2 linked regions of the Arabidopsis thaliana genome follow. The protein of the gene in region 2 interacts with the protein of the main gene of each other region in a pairwise test. Each region holds a gene or a part of one and is shown on either strand. Other genes may lie near its edges.

Region 1 (6,693 bases), 7.8 Mb from region 2:
ATTTGCAACATGTTTATTTATTGGATCTTGGATTTGTGGTTCTGATTGCCAAGTTTGAATGATTTTCAAGTGTGTATACCTGATTTAATAGTGAGTTTCTCTGATTGTTTGTGTGGAATATTGTTGTTTTGATGTTGTTTCTTTCTTATTTTTGCTTTTTCGAGAAAATACTTGCATTTTGTTTTTCGCATAATCAAGCTTTTGTGTTCGGAAAACCATAGATATAGTGTGAAGCTTAAGCTTCTATCTGGAATTTCCGACAAAACGTCAGGAACGTGATTTTACTTTGAGTCTTCTCCATATTGAATGAACAGGCTTTGAGGAATTATATTGTAAGTGTGAATACAGTGGGAGATGCTTGCTTGAGAACAAGCTGCAGTTGCCTGACGTTTTGTACTACAGATAAAGAATCATTCTCTCTTTTTGTACTACAGAAACGTAGAATTGCCTCGAATTGGATGCAAGGATTCCTGAGAAGCCTTAATTTGCCTCCCATGACGAGTTTTCGAGGGAAGGAGCTTTGTCATGAAACAGCGGAAGACTTGTTTGTTAGTTGGTTGGAAATATTCCTGAAACTTTCCGTTTCATTGCATCAGACTGCGCAATAAAGAATCTGCACACCTCATGTGAATGTAAAAACCGCATTCTAGACAACCAAACGGGACACTTTCAATCTTGTCCCTACACGCACCACAAAATGTTCGACCACCACTTCATATGTAATCAAGGCCTCTAAGAGGGTGTTTCGGATGCACGCGATGTTGACTCTCTGTTGGAAGATCAATGCAACGCTCGTGGAGAAACAAGTAACAGGAAACACAACCGTAGCATGTATAAGAGGGAGACAAAGGGAGCTCACAAAGCAGGCAAGAGCCTCTAGCGTCTTGTCCTGGTCTACACCTTCGAAGCAAATGTTCATGACTGTACTGAAGCATTTCTCTAACAACTTGTGATAATGTTCTTCAGTAGGCACAACCAAGATCAAGATAGACCTCACGTTCGTAAAATGAGCAAGAATACATATTCCCACAACCAGAGCAGACAATATATTGGTGACCTATGACTAGTATAGTATGGGTGATAAAATTGCATAGGCGACAGAAGAGATTGAACCCTTCTATATCATTCATGCAAATGTTACAATTCATAACAACTCCTGCACCTGCAGGGGCCGCTGGCTTTTCCAATGGAAACACTGAACTTTGTGTATTATGTCACCAAGATTACATAAGAAAAACACCATTGGAACTGGAAAAACGATAATGGAATCCAAAACAGAGGATTGAAAATACATAGTGTGCCAAAAACAAAGAAAACAGAACAAGAAATAAACAGAGCAAATAAACATATTACAAACATGATTTACTAACCGACAAAATTTTAGAGGTATATAACATAACAAGAAGTTGCAGAACTTAGTTTCAGAGGAGGAACAACCTAACTACGAAGAATCACGGTCTTTGATACGATGTCGGTCAATACACCGAAGATGATAAATCGTTTCACACTCCATACATGACACAGCCTTCCCAAGCACCCTCTCATGACAAATAATACAAACTTTTTGATATGACCTCGGGAACATAACTTGGACCATTCTATGCTTGCCTCCCAAACAACGTCCTCTCCAAGTTCCAACGACTTTCGGTCCTGTCATCCCAAGAAAACGTTTACCTTTCATGGCGCAACTGACGTGGATAATAAAATTGCATATTCGACAAAATAGATTGAACCCTTTTATATCCTCTCTGCAGCTTTTACAACTCGTCATATCCGTAGCAACTGGTTTTGGCATGAGTGTCAAAAGATGGTTCCAATGAAACCGATGTCTTGATGGTTTCCCTAGCTCCACACAGAAGTTATGTGTCACAAAGTTGCAAGTCTCGCATTTCCATGGATTACCAAGTATTTCTTTTTCACATATGTGACAATGTTCTTTGCCTTCAAGCTCACACATATCAATCGATGTCACCACATGATTATGGTTGATATCATGAACCTGCAACATATACCTTACACGTTTGAGACAAAAGGCTGGCTTAAAATGATGTTCATACTTTTCTTCCACTGATAGATAATTATAAAGCCATACCATAACTTTGTTGGTTTCATAGTCTTCTTGGTTTGTTGCTCTTTTGACGTCTTCAACACAAGAATACAGATCCTTCAAGTACAATGGTGATGGCTCTTTCTGTAGTTTGTAGATATAGATCATCAGCATTGCATCATTATTAAGAAACAAAAAAACACAAAAACGATATTGATTACCTCGCGTAGAATGCATTCAATGTGACCAAGAAAATCACATTCTTCGCACGAATAAACATGATGTCCGGCATGAATCAATGTCTCGCAAACGCCACAGTACTCCAAAGAATCATCCTCTTCACGTACTCTTTTACAAACAAGTGGATGAATGTGACAAGATCTCTTAGAAATGGTCTTGGAAATCCCAAGGCATTCGAAATGAAACTCCAATTCACATTCGATGCAGTGGTAGTAAGAATCGAGAGAGCTCACTACAGCTCCCAAGCATATTTGGCAACAATTGTTTCTTCCAAAATGTTCTTTAGCATTCGAAGATACATAAAACAATTTATGCTCATGAGATTCATGCATCAGACAGCGCAAAAACGAATCTGCACACCTCATGTGAATGTAAAAACCACATTCTAGGCAGCCAAAGGGGACACTGTCAATCTTCTCTCTACACGCACCGCAAAATGTTCGACCACCACTTCGTATGTAATCAAGGCGTCTGAGAGGGTGTTCCAGATGCACGGGATGTCGAATCTCTGTCGGAAGATCGAGACAGCGCTCGTGGAGAAACGAGTAACAGTAAACACAACCGTAACATATAGAAGAGGGAGAAAGAGGGAGCTCACAAAGCAGGCAAGAGCCTCTAGCATCTTGTCCTGGTTTACACCTTCGAAGCAAATGTTCATGACTGTAATGAAGCATTTCTCTAACGTCCCAACCAGTGAAAACGTTCTTCAGTAGTGCACAACCGAGATCAAGATAGATCTCACATTCTTTACATTCATAGAATGAGCAAGAAGACATGTTCCCACAACAAGAGCAGACAATGTAACCAGGTTTTCGATCATATTGGAATAGAGAAAACTCAAGAGGATGATCTGAGTGAAAACCATGTGACACCTTTTGCGGCAGCTTGGAGCAAGTCTTACATATATCAAAATTGCAAGGCTTACATGCGTATTCAACAACTTGGTCTTGGAAGCAAATGTTGCAGATGCCTTCAGCTACAATCTCCGGCGAGGTCAAAGGGCATGAGTGGGAGAAATGCTCGAGTTTTCCCATGGGGAAGAAGCAAGATTGGAATCTTGATCTAAGAGTACCATTAGATAACACAGTAATCTTGATCAAAGAACCTTCATGATTCAAAATCCCAAAAGCATAACTAATTGTGAGGTCGACAGAGAGAGAGAGAGTAATAAATTAGTGGCTCAATAATTGTTTCTCAACGTGGTGTGGTTGGAAAATTTAATATTTTTTATTTCGTTTACTGACCATGCTTAATTGGATTCTATTGAGCCCATTTTTTTTTTTTTGGTATCATTATGGTAATTGAAGTAATAATGATACTTAAAATTGTTATTGAATATGAAACTTAAAAATTGATGAAGAGTCTTCTCAGTGTGAAGTACCTTTCACTAGACAGTTCTTTATTCATAAGCATGTTCGATAACATATCAAGAAGCATAAATCCAACAGATGATAAGGGTCAAAGACGACTTCTTTTGGCTAACTTACGACACGTGACCAACAAGATAGGTCTAGACTTCTGAAGAACTGCCACGTCTTGGCAAGGTGGCAGGTTTTAAGACCATGGCTTGAGGGCATAAATAAGTTTTGTGGACAAAAGGGGAAAATGAGTTAAGAAGGATCGGTATCATCAACGATGTCGGGAGCACAAGGAGCAGAGCCGATGGATTCAAGAACGGCGACAACGTACGAGTCAGTGGAAGGAGGACAGAACAAGACGAAGCTTGATATAAGGTCAAAGGAAGACGAAGGTGGGATTCAAGTTGACAAGCTTCAAGACAAGGTCTCTGATGCTGCTGGTCTTGGCGGACCTGTCTTTGGTGCTGGTAAAGACGACAAGAAGCAGGATCTTGGTGTTACCGGTACCGGCTAGGTCTCTGTAAAATATGTTCAGATACGGTCCTGTCATAGTCATGTAATATTAAAAACATGTTTTGAGTAGAAAACTAATCAATAAAAGTCTTTTATGAGAAAACAATGAAACCTAACATTCAGACTCTTTATTATGAACCAAATCAAACTGTGTCCTCTTAAAAAACCAATAGGATCTGTGTATGAAAAAACAGAGAAGCAAGATCAAATAGGACCTTCACAAAACCAACCAAGAGTAAAACACCTAAACTTATAACAACACAAGGAAATAACATGTGTTGAATCCTGAGACAGAACCAGTATGGTAGCTCTCAATACACAGGATGATATATCTCTTCACACGTCATACATGACACAGCTTTCCCAAACAAAAACTCCAAGTTCCAGTGAATTTCTGCCTTAAAGCTTCAAGAACATGTTTACTTTTCAAGGCACAGTTGATGTGGATAACAAAAGTACATATACGGCAGAAGAGATTGAAATCGTATATATTCTCTCTGCAAATGTCACATTTCATCTTTTCCTGTGAAGGATACTTTGTCAACAGTGTCAAAGGATGGTTCTGATGAAATCGATGTCTTGATGGTCGCCCCAACTCCACACAGTACTGATGTGTCTCGAAGCGGCAGGTCTCACATTTCCATGGGTTACCAAGTATGTTTCCTCCACATATCTTGCAATATGGATATTTATCAAGAGCACTCATGAGGACTGGTTTCATAACATGCATATGCCATATATCATTAACCTACCTGAAGCAATTAGCCAAAACGAGAAAAAGTGTTTTTAGTTTTCATGAGCGTGATTGATTATGTAAAAGTCATACTGTAGTTTGTTTTCCAAGTTGTTGGTTCCAGAGGTTTCTTGATCTATTGATCTCATGGTAACTTTGCTAGAAGAATACAAAACTTTCAAGTACAACGGCGAAGGCTTTTCCTGTTGATTATGAGTATGAGTAGCTTTTCATCATCAATAAGAAAAGAAAAGAAGAAAACAGAATTGTAATGAAAAGAAGAAAACAGAATTGCAACTCTACAAGTCAAGCACTCAAAACCACTTGCCAGAAAATATATCATTATCTTTACTCTTTAGAAAACGAGTCAGGACTACACACATTAAAGACTTCAAACAACATAATGAACTTTGCATGCATATACAAAAAAAAATCTCAGACACAATCATTCTTCTGTTTTGTTTGACATAGAAAGTTAAGAACCTATTTGATGTTCTCTCTAGTTCTAAATTAAGTCAGATGGAGGAAGTGTGAAGGAAGCAGCACCATTTTCGACGTCATCAGTCTTAATGGTTCCATCTAAAGACATAAGCACTCTGTATATCCGCTTCGAACAGGCCTCACCTACACTTGTGTCTCTTCCTACTAAATTTTCCACTTTCAAGTCTTTCAGTAGAAACTCCTTCTCATGAACCTGGTCCCCAATTTTGTTAACCAACACAACACAATTTGCATCAGAAGCCATTAGAAACAACAACTCAAGAAGTCAATATCCGTAGTTTGTGTTAACTCACCGATATGTTAGGATCCATATAAACCTTAAGAAGTGACTTCAAGGATGGGTATTTCTTTGACACTGCTATAGCGTATCTTGGCTGTACCTTTGGTATTGCTACCAACACTTTCAACCTATCGATCCAATGCATATTAAACAAAGAAGGTGATTTCTAAAAAGATTATTGAAACTGGGTTTAGATTACTCTACCATATGCTCTCTCTAATCAAGTGCTTATCAGCTGCATTCTTGGACATTAATGTACCATCAGCGTATACTGATAACCGAGTTAACTTCTTCCTGCGCATCAGACAGTTTTGCTTCAGAATCAAGGTCATCAAGAAAATGGAATTTCCACTGGGCATCATATCGAATCAAAATCTTTGGAAACAAAATTGAAATAGCATAGATATCAATACCTGACTTGGCAATGGGCCAGACTACTTGTTAACCGAACAACATGGTCAGCCACCTCAGCCTCGTCTACACAATGCCGGGAATGTACTCCAATATAGTGAGTTGATAACTTCGCAATTGCCTGTAACACATCAGAGCTTTATTAAAGACATCAAAGGAGCATTAAGGATTTTTTTTTTTTCCCTCTAGACACATTTTGATTAGGAACTGTAGTACCTCATCAATAGGAGGCTTTCTCCAACCACAGCCATTTACAGGGTCCTTGTACTCAACCCTTTCCCTAGAAGATAGAGTTGTTTAGCTTCAGTATGGAAACATTAATGCAACAAAAATGTACCTTCTCAAACGCACTTTTTGTTTACGTAGGACAGTAACTTATTGGTGAGGTAGCACATTGTATAAGATGGGTATTCGTCACGAACTCTGTAGACGTTTTCTAGAAGTTCTTTCTTAGCAACAAGATTACAAAAGTCTTCAGCCTCATACAAGAGTAAAACATATGGAATCTTGGACCCTAGAGGCAATGACTGCAATAGATCAAAGAAGATGCAAATGAAGAGTATAAGAAATACTAGGTAAAGCTGATTCACATAATAATCTTCTAAGGCCC
Region 2 (9,591 bases):
TAGTGTGTATAGAAGAGCACAGATGATTATTTTTTGGCACATGCTTGTTTGTTAGAGCAGGCATCATCTTGTTGTCTCTACAAAAGATGGTGAAGAATGAAGCAGACCCTTTTAACTTTGACCATATAAACAACAACTGTCATTCATGAAACCGAGATAAGCATAAAGCGCTTTCTCAAATTAGTAGAGTGCTTCTCTTTTGTGTTCTTGATTGATAATAAATGTTAACGAGGGTTCGGTGGATTTATGGGTAGGAGACTAATCTTGACAGAAGAAAAAAAAAAAACTTAACTGTATTCTTATCTGGTACACAAACAAAAGTCAAAAGTATTGGTCAAATTTCCAAGTAGATGAAGCTCTCACTCTCATCCATAAACTTCAAGTCAAAATTGCATTCTTTATGCAACCAAAGGCGTGGTACTCCTGTGATTTCAACCTTTCTCAAATCATTGTTTTGCACATCATAACACAGAATGTAGAACTGAGAACGCATCTCCAAGGGTGACAGTATAACCTTGCCGTCTTGAGTTGTACCTTTTACGATCAAATCAATGCCATGGACTAAATGCCTTTGGCAAGGCTGCAAAACCAGGATCATATTGGACCATTTCTTCTTCCCAGCAGCGTCTTTCAATACCCATAATTCTACCAAACCCTCGTCTTTAAGGTAGCTATGACTGAAAATTGCTAATTTTCCATCATACTCTATAAGATCCGCCTTCATCATCAGTGCAGGCACAGGCACATCCCAGATTTTCCGAGGTAATAGGAAGGTAGTAACCTCTTCAGACCTAATGTTGAAACTCACAACCGCACACTTGTACAAATCAACCCAGGCTAGATAATGTACTACTCCATCGATAGACCGTCCTGCTGTGGCAGGAGCATGGGGATGATAATTTCCCAGTGGAACAACTTTTTTCCAGGAACCTCCAAGTTCTAGTGTGAAGACCCAATGCTCTGAGCTCATGTTTGCAAACAATTTCGAGTATATCAGAATAGTGCAGACTAGTTTGTATTGATCATTAACAGGATCGCGTCCAATATAGTATTGGGTAGTCTTCAGTTGACCTTGTTGAGCTGTGATGTCGGATTTTACGGAGGGTAAGGTCAAGAGTTGTTTGGTGCTAGGGTTATAGATACACGCCTTTGTTCCGAACTGGAAACACAGCAAGCCAGGAACAGAGGCGAAGAAGTAGCCTGGGATGCTCAAATCTTGGTCGACGAGTACAAAACAAGTGTTGTCCGGTGACGTTGATGATAGTAGAACACATTGCTTGTCTTTGGCCACTAAACACATGTATAGACGTGGTTGTTGTTGTTGTTGTCGTGTTACACAAGTAAATAAACGGTTGCAAAAATATCGACCAGAGATAAGGGGTGACCACTGCTTTGAGACGCACTTGAACCTCATAAAGGACTTTGTTGGCAATCTTATAAGAATTTCTATCATGAGATCAGGAGGGATCTCGCAGTCGTGCCTATTGCACATATCTTTGATTCCTCTTCTTCTTCTCTTCCTCTTCATACTCCTCTCTCGTTGCATGACTGCTGGACGAAAAACCAAACCCAATAGATTTTGACAAAGCGCTACCCACAAACTTATATCAAAACCCTAAGTACTCTTGTTCTTACTAATTAGGAAGAGGAAGTTCTTTCATGTTTCCCGGTCACGGTTGGTGGAGATATCAAGGAGGCTAGCGTTGATTTTTTAAGCCCATTCGTTCAACAAAGCCCATTAAGAAACTTGTCTTTTTGTTTTTGGGCAAACTAGATAAAAAACCTTGTCTACTACATATTTAGACTGAGTCTTGTGATTATGTGTCAGTGACAATAACAGTACTGCTATTATGCCAAACACAATCTATACAGAAACTGACAGAGAAGGAGAGACAATATTCATCTCTGTTAATTAAACTACTCAGAACCCAACTCCACTAATTTACAATAGATCTAAACCTAATTGTCACTCTTATGGGTTCCAAGTTGCAGACAGCTGTGTAGAGATTACTACTGGAACCTGCAAGACGCGTAAACACAAGTCCACAACTACGTTTCAGTGATCTAACTAAACTTCTTTTAAGAATCTTTTTAGAATTAAATTTGGTATTTGTTACCTCGGAGATTGTCGTTTTGAGCAGACTTATGTCATTTTTCCGCCTGCATCAGACTTCCTCCTGTAGAAGAGCACATATGCAGCACCTGACTTCACATCATCTTCGTTTATGTGTGATATATGGCTATCATCGAAGTTATACCACCTACTGTCGTCCAAAAGCTGCAGACCATATTCGATAATAAACATAAGAAAAACAAGCAAGAAACTCAGAAATGGAAACAGAATGAAAAAGTTTAGTTGTTCGAACTGACCTTGATATGTGCAGTGTAGTGTCCGCTGCCCATACCACCATAATGGTTGGTCAAGGCATAGAGCTCATATAGTTGAGGTTGAGATAGGTTTTTGTTGGCTACATACTTTGTTAGATCTAAGTCATGAATGGGAAAGTTAACAAATGTTTCCAACTTATGCTTCATGGACCTGCTGTATGAGAATCTCTTTAGATGTATGACTAAGACCTCAGGAAGCCTCCACAGATCAAGCTTTTTGCTTGCCTGCCTTCTTTCATTGCATTGTGGACAGAACCTTCAAAAAAAGAGAAATGATACCATTGATTGATTTAGTCAGCTAAGTAGAAGATACTGGCTAAAATCTACTGCAAAAATACAGTGTGTTCAACTTCCATCCGTAGTAGACACTAGCAATTTCTGAACATCATTCATCATCTTGTAGTAATGCGTAGTTCAACTTTTACCACAAACCATAAAAAATGAGTCTCACAGGAAGGATAAGGAGAAAAGACTGCTTACCACATTTCGTCAGGTACCAAAGGCTCTTCGCGTAGAAACGCTTCCAAACATGCATATAAAGAAAGAGGTTCTGAACGAGCCTTCTTGGTAGTAGGTCCGTATTTGAGTACTTCAGGCAAACTCTCCAGGCAAGTTATATCATACATACCAGAGAGTTCTGGTGTCCAATCCAAATATATAGTTACAGTAGCTGATGACGGTAATTTCATAGCTTCTGCTTCATTGTCTGGCAGATTAATCGTTTTGTTGTCTTCATCAATGAGTTGCAGGGATAATTTAGAAGCACCCAAGTCGGAGGAGTTGCTTTTCTTGGCTTTTTTCAGTCCACCAACTTTATCTTCTTCCTCAGTATTATTAAATCGAGCTGACCTTCTCTCGGGGATGCTAGAATCAGAATTTCCTTTTTTGCCCACAGATTCTTCCCTCCGAAAAGGTGAAAGCATATTCTGGACGAGGCAATGGATTTTTCCTTTGGTGAGTGCATCTCCGCATGAAGCTGATGAGAGAAGAGGTGTTCCACAGGGTTTCAATTGTACTGTACTTTCACGTTCCCCAGCTTTCCTAAAACATGGTACAAGAAAAGATAAAGAAGAGAGCAAACAGAATATAAGATACCTTTCTCAGATCAGCATTAATCAAGGATTCAAAAATTATTCAGAAATCAAAGACTGAAGAAGTGAGGCCTTAAAGAAAAGAAAGTCTTGAAGTTTTAAGAAAGGAAATCCAAAGATGTTGAGTACAGAAGAGGACTTTGTTGTTTCAAACTAATCCCCAGAATTAGTTCATACAAATTAGACTGATATTTAACTTACTGATCTCTGCGGCGGAGTACTAGTCTAAGCAAAGTCGTATTCTCCGAAGACTTTGAAAGTTTGTATGCAGCAAGGTGGTCATCATCTTTGATACTTGACAACGGAATTAAAGGGTCTTCAAATAATCTATGGATAAAATTATTCCGAATCTGCGAAAAACATATTAAACTTAGATAAGCGGAAGCCAAAAGATCAACATCTTACTCAAAAACGCACTTGAAGCCACAAACCTCTGCAAGTTTCAGCTCTTCACTTTGCTTCAAGGAACAAGCATTTGTTAATGCCTGGATCAAGTCTCTGCAACGTCCCTGCTTTGAAACATTGACTGTGATAGTGGAAGGTAAGGCAGTTTTATCACAAGAAAAAACTGTGACTGTTATTGCTCGTGTTGTGTTGAACTGCAGCGGCAAAGACAGGTACATGAAGGGATCAAACGTTACAGAAACCTTGTTGCAGATTGGACACACCAATGTTGACTTATATTGGCCCTGTGAGTTGACAAACAGAGTAGGAGAATGAGATTCCCCACAGTATTAAAAATTAAAACCAAAACAAAAAATAACAATATACCCTGGGTCTGAATCACAAGCTAAAAATCAGCTACATATAAAGCTGATACATGATGGATGCACTCACACAACCGAGATTAACATAAATATCAAGACTAAATTCAATAGGAACAGAGACAAGTTATGTACCCTCTTCAAATACCGTGTTTCTGTGAAAATTGCAAATGTATACAGTATTTTTACTAGGCCAATTTAACTCTTCTGATATAATTAACTTTCTACAGAGCCACTAAAAAGCAAAAGGGACTGGAATGTCGGTTACTCGTGTCTATTAGTTGAGTGACCATACAGCAGATTCCTAGACGTTATAACCAAATGCAAGCCTAATCCACAATACTAGTATCAGTTTCAATGCCATGAGTTGATAAACAGAGAAGCGTTGGATTTTCTAAAAGATATACAGCTGACCTGACAAACATCAACTATTATTGAGTCATTACGAGCAATATGATTTTTCCAGAACTCATCAGCAACTTCTTCATCAGGGCGCCCATCTGCGTCTCGAGAATTTATATATGGTTTGTGTTTAACACGATTTAGGTCCTCGTGAAGACCATCCAGCAGAAACGCTAAAAGCTCCTGCAAAATGAAAAACTCGAATTCCTTGAGCTACAATGTAAATTCAGGTTAAAGAAAATATCTGGCTAGTCTCACAAACCTGCGAATCATGTTGATTGTACCCACTAAATTGAGGAGCAAAGCGAGCAAGTTTAGCTTTGAATGGACGAGGTGCAATTGGTGTCCGCCCAGGAGCCCATAACTTCCTGAGCAAGTCACCAAATGCGAGAGCTAATTCCCCCTGTGCAAAATGATTTCAATACAGTCAAGAAATGATCTGAAATCAACTACTCAATATCTCAGAAAGAAACAATGCTTGTGATCTACGCGAGAAAATAACACTGATTACCTGCCAAGGAACACTACCCTAATCAACTTCTAATGTAACTTCTGATGATATAAGATGTCTTATATATTCCAACGTTATTCCATTTATATGCAAAATTAAGCCTATCAAGAATGTTTGGGACGAAAGCACAACCCCAAACATACAATACTGCAAAAGATTTTACGTGCAACAGGGAAACACAAGTGAACCAATGATGTCTAAGCATACCTATACACTTAAACCTACACACACACTTATGTATCCATCAGATTTATGAGTAGCAAAGAACTTCAAGAGGAACTTACCACCATTCCAAGAGGGTTTTGCCAATTTATTTCTTGATGATAATCTTCTTGAAAGTAACTAGCAAACTCAGGTGTATGAACCAGACACTGAATCGCACTATTCATGAAACAAGTATTCCCAAGATTTAGCAGCCCTGTCAAGCCAGCTGTGGATCCCCTAGTGGTGACGCCAGTGCTACTGTATGTGTTATCAAAAGATTGTGAAACTTCTACACTACCAGTTCTGAATGCATTCCTGCTTGAAGAGAACCCTCCTGCGGCAGCCAAGCTCGATTTAGAAGGCTCAATGAGAATAGAAGTAGAGTCTCCATCCACCAATCCGTTCTCTTGAGCAGATTGAATGTGAGCACTTGATAATGTACCATTGATGTCAAGCACCTCCACCAAAATCTGTTTTTAAACGACAGACACAAAATCAGTGGGAAAGTTAACGAGTCAGTAAGAACACCAGAAAAGATAAAAGTCAGAGAGCTATAAAACCTTAAGCTTAGGCTAACTAAACAATCGGACTGAAGCATAAAAAATTTATATTCAAATAGCTAATAACTTTGAAAGCAAAAAGAAGAAGAAGAAGAAGTGAACTCACATCCTGATCCATTTGTAGGTTAGCATCGTCCAGTGTCTTATCTAAGTCATTCATCAAAGAATACTTTTGGTGGCCGTAGTAATCCCAAATGCGTACCTACATGATAGAAAATGCTCATGTAAGAAAGAGAAAGGGAAAGAAAAGAATACCAAAAGTATTATTGAAACGGGCTGTTTAATAACATAGGAATATCAGATCTTTACATGCTCTGAGTCGAGGTCAAAAATTTCACAGGCTCTTCGATGGAGCTCTCTGATAGTTTCCTGCACAACAAAGTTTGATAGTTCAATGAAGTAGCAGACTAAACGAGTTCAGATTTTCAAGTAATGAACAAAGAAAAAAAAAGAACAGAAAAGAGGATAACCTTTTTGCTAATTCTTATGGCACTATGGTCACTTTTTGGCATCAGAAGTAGCTGAAGACGTAAAGGGTAAACCTCTACAGCCAATTCTGTTTGAGAGAGACCTGAGCTAATGACTCTCCGTGCCAGAGTTGGACCACCCCCGTACCTTATAAAACAGAAGCAATAGTCCATAAGAACCATATAATCAGTTTAAGTGAAAAAAGCCAAACTATAGTGTAGTAAATAAGAAAACCAAGAGATTGCGTTATTAGTTTCATATTATGCATTACAAATCAACATAGGAGAGAAAGCAACTAAATAACATCAGGTGCATACAAGATGAACTTGGTAGAGCTACACATCTGACTTAACCTTAGCATTATCCATTTGAGGAATGTTAGATAAACATGACCCAACATACCAAAGATAACCAAGGAAAATCAAAAGCACTAGAATAGGGATAAAAATAAGTCTAGCCCACATAAGATGAAGAGACGTAAAATTTAATATCAGTTCAATTCTTCTACACTTAAAACTCACCATGAACGCAATTGGTTCCACACTTCTTGAGGGAGCAAAACATAATCACGACCTTCCTGAAGTGTTTCAATAATCTCACTGGTATTACTCGGGTCCTCCAGCGAAGAATCATAGATCAAATCAGAGTTATCAATCCTAGAAGGCTTCTTTAGAGTGCTTGAACCAGGAGAGTCGCAATGCTCTGACAGTGAAGACCCATCATTTGTGTTACATGGTTGGTCTTGATTCACATACTCAATCCATTCTTGCCACCATCTGGACAGAAAAGAGAGAGAATGTTCTCAGCAGAAGTACCATAAGAGAAAATTCAAACTTTATCACAATGGTTGTAATCTAATACAATACCCATAAACATGAGTCAATAAAAGACAGTTCTTTGGAAAAGGTTATGAAATGCTCAAACTAATCTCATCAACTACTACAGATAACCCAATCCCTAATCGTAACTCTAACCCTAACCAAGTCCGAAACCAAGGCAACCAAACAAGACGAACAGATAGATATAACTCTTGGGAATTTGATAAATTCAAGCTACAAGTGACCATAGGGAGCAAAAATCAAAGCTTTATAAACCTCTGAGTGATGAGATAAAATGTATCGCCTTCTTTACTATTAGCCTCAGCAGCAATAGCAATGTCTCTGATGAAAACTCGCTCTTCCTCGGGAGACAGATCCGTGCTGCTACTGCTGCTTCCCATCGATACCTCCGCCATATCTCGAAAATTAGGAGAAATTCGTTTCAGCTAAAGTCAGCTTTCGCGAATTCTAGCTATGAAGAGAAGAATCTAAAGCTGAGACAACGCCGAACAACCGTGCTTCGCCGTACGACTCCGGCGAGAGTAAAGCAAGGCGGTGGATATGATAAACCCTAACGGCTTTTTTGGGGGAGACAAAGTAGAGTGAGCCGCTCGCTAACAAAAAGTCGGAACCTCTTTTTTTTCTCTCTGAAACAGATCCTTGCTGGCTTCGCTCCTTAGATAGTCATTTCGAAATAGGTCCCCAAAAAAATCCACCACCATTTATAAATTTAAGAAAAAAAACAATTTTTGTTGACCAACATTTTTTTTTTTTGCTCTTGCACTAATTGAAAAGGTTGATTTAAAAAGATATCTTAAAATTGTTAGATTTTTTTTTTTTTGTAACTTTTATTTTCTCAAATTGTTAGATATGAAACTTTAAACAATGGTTGGAAAGAAACATTTTACTAATAATGAAAAATTTATTAATGCGTAAATTGATGTTTTGAGATTAATATATAAATAACATGTTGATAAGAGGCCTGGTCAATTTACTCAACGTGGAAACTCCATCTCTCTTCTTCTGGAACCAATAAATAAAATAAAAGTAAGCTCTTTCTCGTGAATCTCTGAGTTAATGCGCTAAACTAATCTCTCCGTTGAGCTCAGGTAAAGAGTTGTTTCTATTCACATGTATCTGATTATTTCTTCTTGGGTTTAAAGTTTACTCTTTTATCTCGTTTTCGCTGATTCGTCTTGTTCTCTCTTCCGATCCTTTTTTTGTCTCTGCTTCTTGCTCTGTTCGTTCATTTACTTATCTTCTCCATCTCACTACCTTTTTGATTTAGCTGCTGTTGTAGTAATTGTATATATGTTCATTTTGATGCAATTCAAGGTACAGATGTGTTTCTTGGTGTCAATTTTCAGGCTCTGTGGTAAATAAAGTCCTGTTCTTGATATTGGTGGTTTCATCAGAATTAGGATGAAAGAGAAGAAGGGTCATTACGTGCCACCATCTTATATTCCATTAACACAGTCAGATGCTGATACTGAAGTAGAGACCACTACTCCAAATCTGGAAATTGCTGTTTCTGAAAGCACAAAAGATGATCCGAGACAATGGTCATCTGGTATATGCGCTTGCTTCGACGATATGCAGAGCTGTATGCTACTACTCTCTGTCATCCAAACCTTCTTCATTTTACTACACGAATCAAATTTGTTAAAGGTGCCTCTTTGCATTGACCTGTGAAATTGCCATGTGTTAGTGTGTTCAGATATGTTCATAAAGATAAGTGTGGTTCTGGTTGATAGTTCTTGCAGAGTTTTTTTTGGTTTAGAAGAATAACCAAGTGCATTTCTTGAATAGGCTAGGAAGAAACTTAGATTGCTTATGTTTTGAGCTTCCTTGTGTTACTTCTCTAGGACTTGATTCTGTTTTCTTGTTTATGCTGAAGATCATTTAGACAATGGTTTGAAATGAACATTACAACTTACTGTGGTTTGTTTCGTATGCACAGGTTGTGTAGGTTTGTTCTGTCCTTGTTATATCTTTGGCAAAAACGCAGAGCTTCTGGGGTCTGGAACATTTGCAGGACCCTGCTTAACCCATTGCATCTCCTGGGCTTTGGTCAATACCATTTGCTGCTTTGCAACTAATGGCGCATTGCTCGGTCTACCGGGATGCTTTGTGTCATGTTATGCTTGCGGGTACCGCAAATCATTAAGAGCCAAGTACAATTTACAGGTTAGAATTTCTCAAACGACACATATGTGGATAATACCATTAGGTATGTATGTGGCGCTTCTGACTGATTTAACATTCTTTGATTCAGGAGGCTCCATGTGGGGATTTTGTAACACACTTCTTCTGTCACTTGTGTGCCATTTGCCAAGAATACAGAGAGATTCGAGAACAAAGCAGTGGTTCATATCCTCTTGACAT

What was found.
Region 1: the proteins of UBP5 (region 2) and AT2G21830 interact in a two-hybrid assay, tested with the Arabidopsis thaliana proteins (one large-scale study listed by BioGRID).

What each region holds. Positions count from the first base shown.
Region 1 is NC_003071.7:9,300,449-9,307,141, reverse strand, and holds AT2G21830 (Cysteine/Histidine-rich C1 domain family protein), read right to left. Parts: upstream 3,430-6,693; 5' UTR 3,322-3,429; coding exon 2,269-3,321; intron 2,192-2,268; coding exon 2,093-2,191; intron 2,000-2,092; coding exon 1,442-1,999; 3' UTR 1,117-1,441; downstream 1-1,116. Other genes in the region: AT2G21820 (seed maturation protein), read left to right, coding at 3,923-4,159; AT2G21810 (Cysteine/Histidine-rich C1 domain family protein), read right to left, coding at 4,502-4,888; EME1A (essential meiotic endonuclease 1A), read right to left, coding at 5,397-5,585, 5,686-5,800, 5,877-5,966, 6,086-6,204, 6,300-6,363, 6,435-6,610.
Region 2 is NC_003071.7:17,074,571-17,084,161, forward strand, and holds UBP5 (ubiquitin-specific protease 5), read right to left. Parts: upstream 7,959-9,591; 5' UTR 7,623-7,958; coding exon 7,483-7,622; intron 7,165-7,482; coding exon 6,910-7,164; intron 6,536-6,909; coding exon 6,391-6,535; intron 6,290-6,390; coding exon 6,230-6,289; intron 6,123-6,229; coding exon 6,027-6,122; intron 5,831-6,026; coding exon 5,441-5,830; intron 5,049-5,440; coding exon 4,908-5,048; intron 4,829-4,907; coding exon 4,658-4,828; intron 4,169-4,657; coding exon 3,911-4,168; intron 3,830-3,910; coding exon 3,681-3,829; intron 3,430-3,680; coding exon 2,869-3,429; intron 2,645-2,868; coding exon 2,371-2,644; intron 2,279-2,370; coding exon 2,144-2,278; 3' UTR 2,118-2,143; exon of another isoform or gene 2,021-2,117; 3' UTR 1,742-2,020; downstream 1-1,741. Other genes in the region: AT2G40925 (F-box and associated interaction domains-containing protein), read right to left, coding at 335-1,546; AT2G40935 (PLAC8 family protein), read left to right, coding at 8,629-8,809, 9,167-9,393, 9,482-9,591. UniProt on the Arabidopsis thaliana protein: Recognizes and hydrolyzes the peptide bond at the C-terminal Gly of ubiquitin. Involved in the processing of poly-ubiquitin precursors as well as that of ubiquitinated proteins.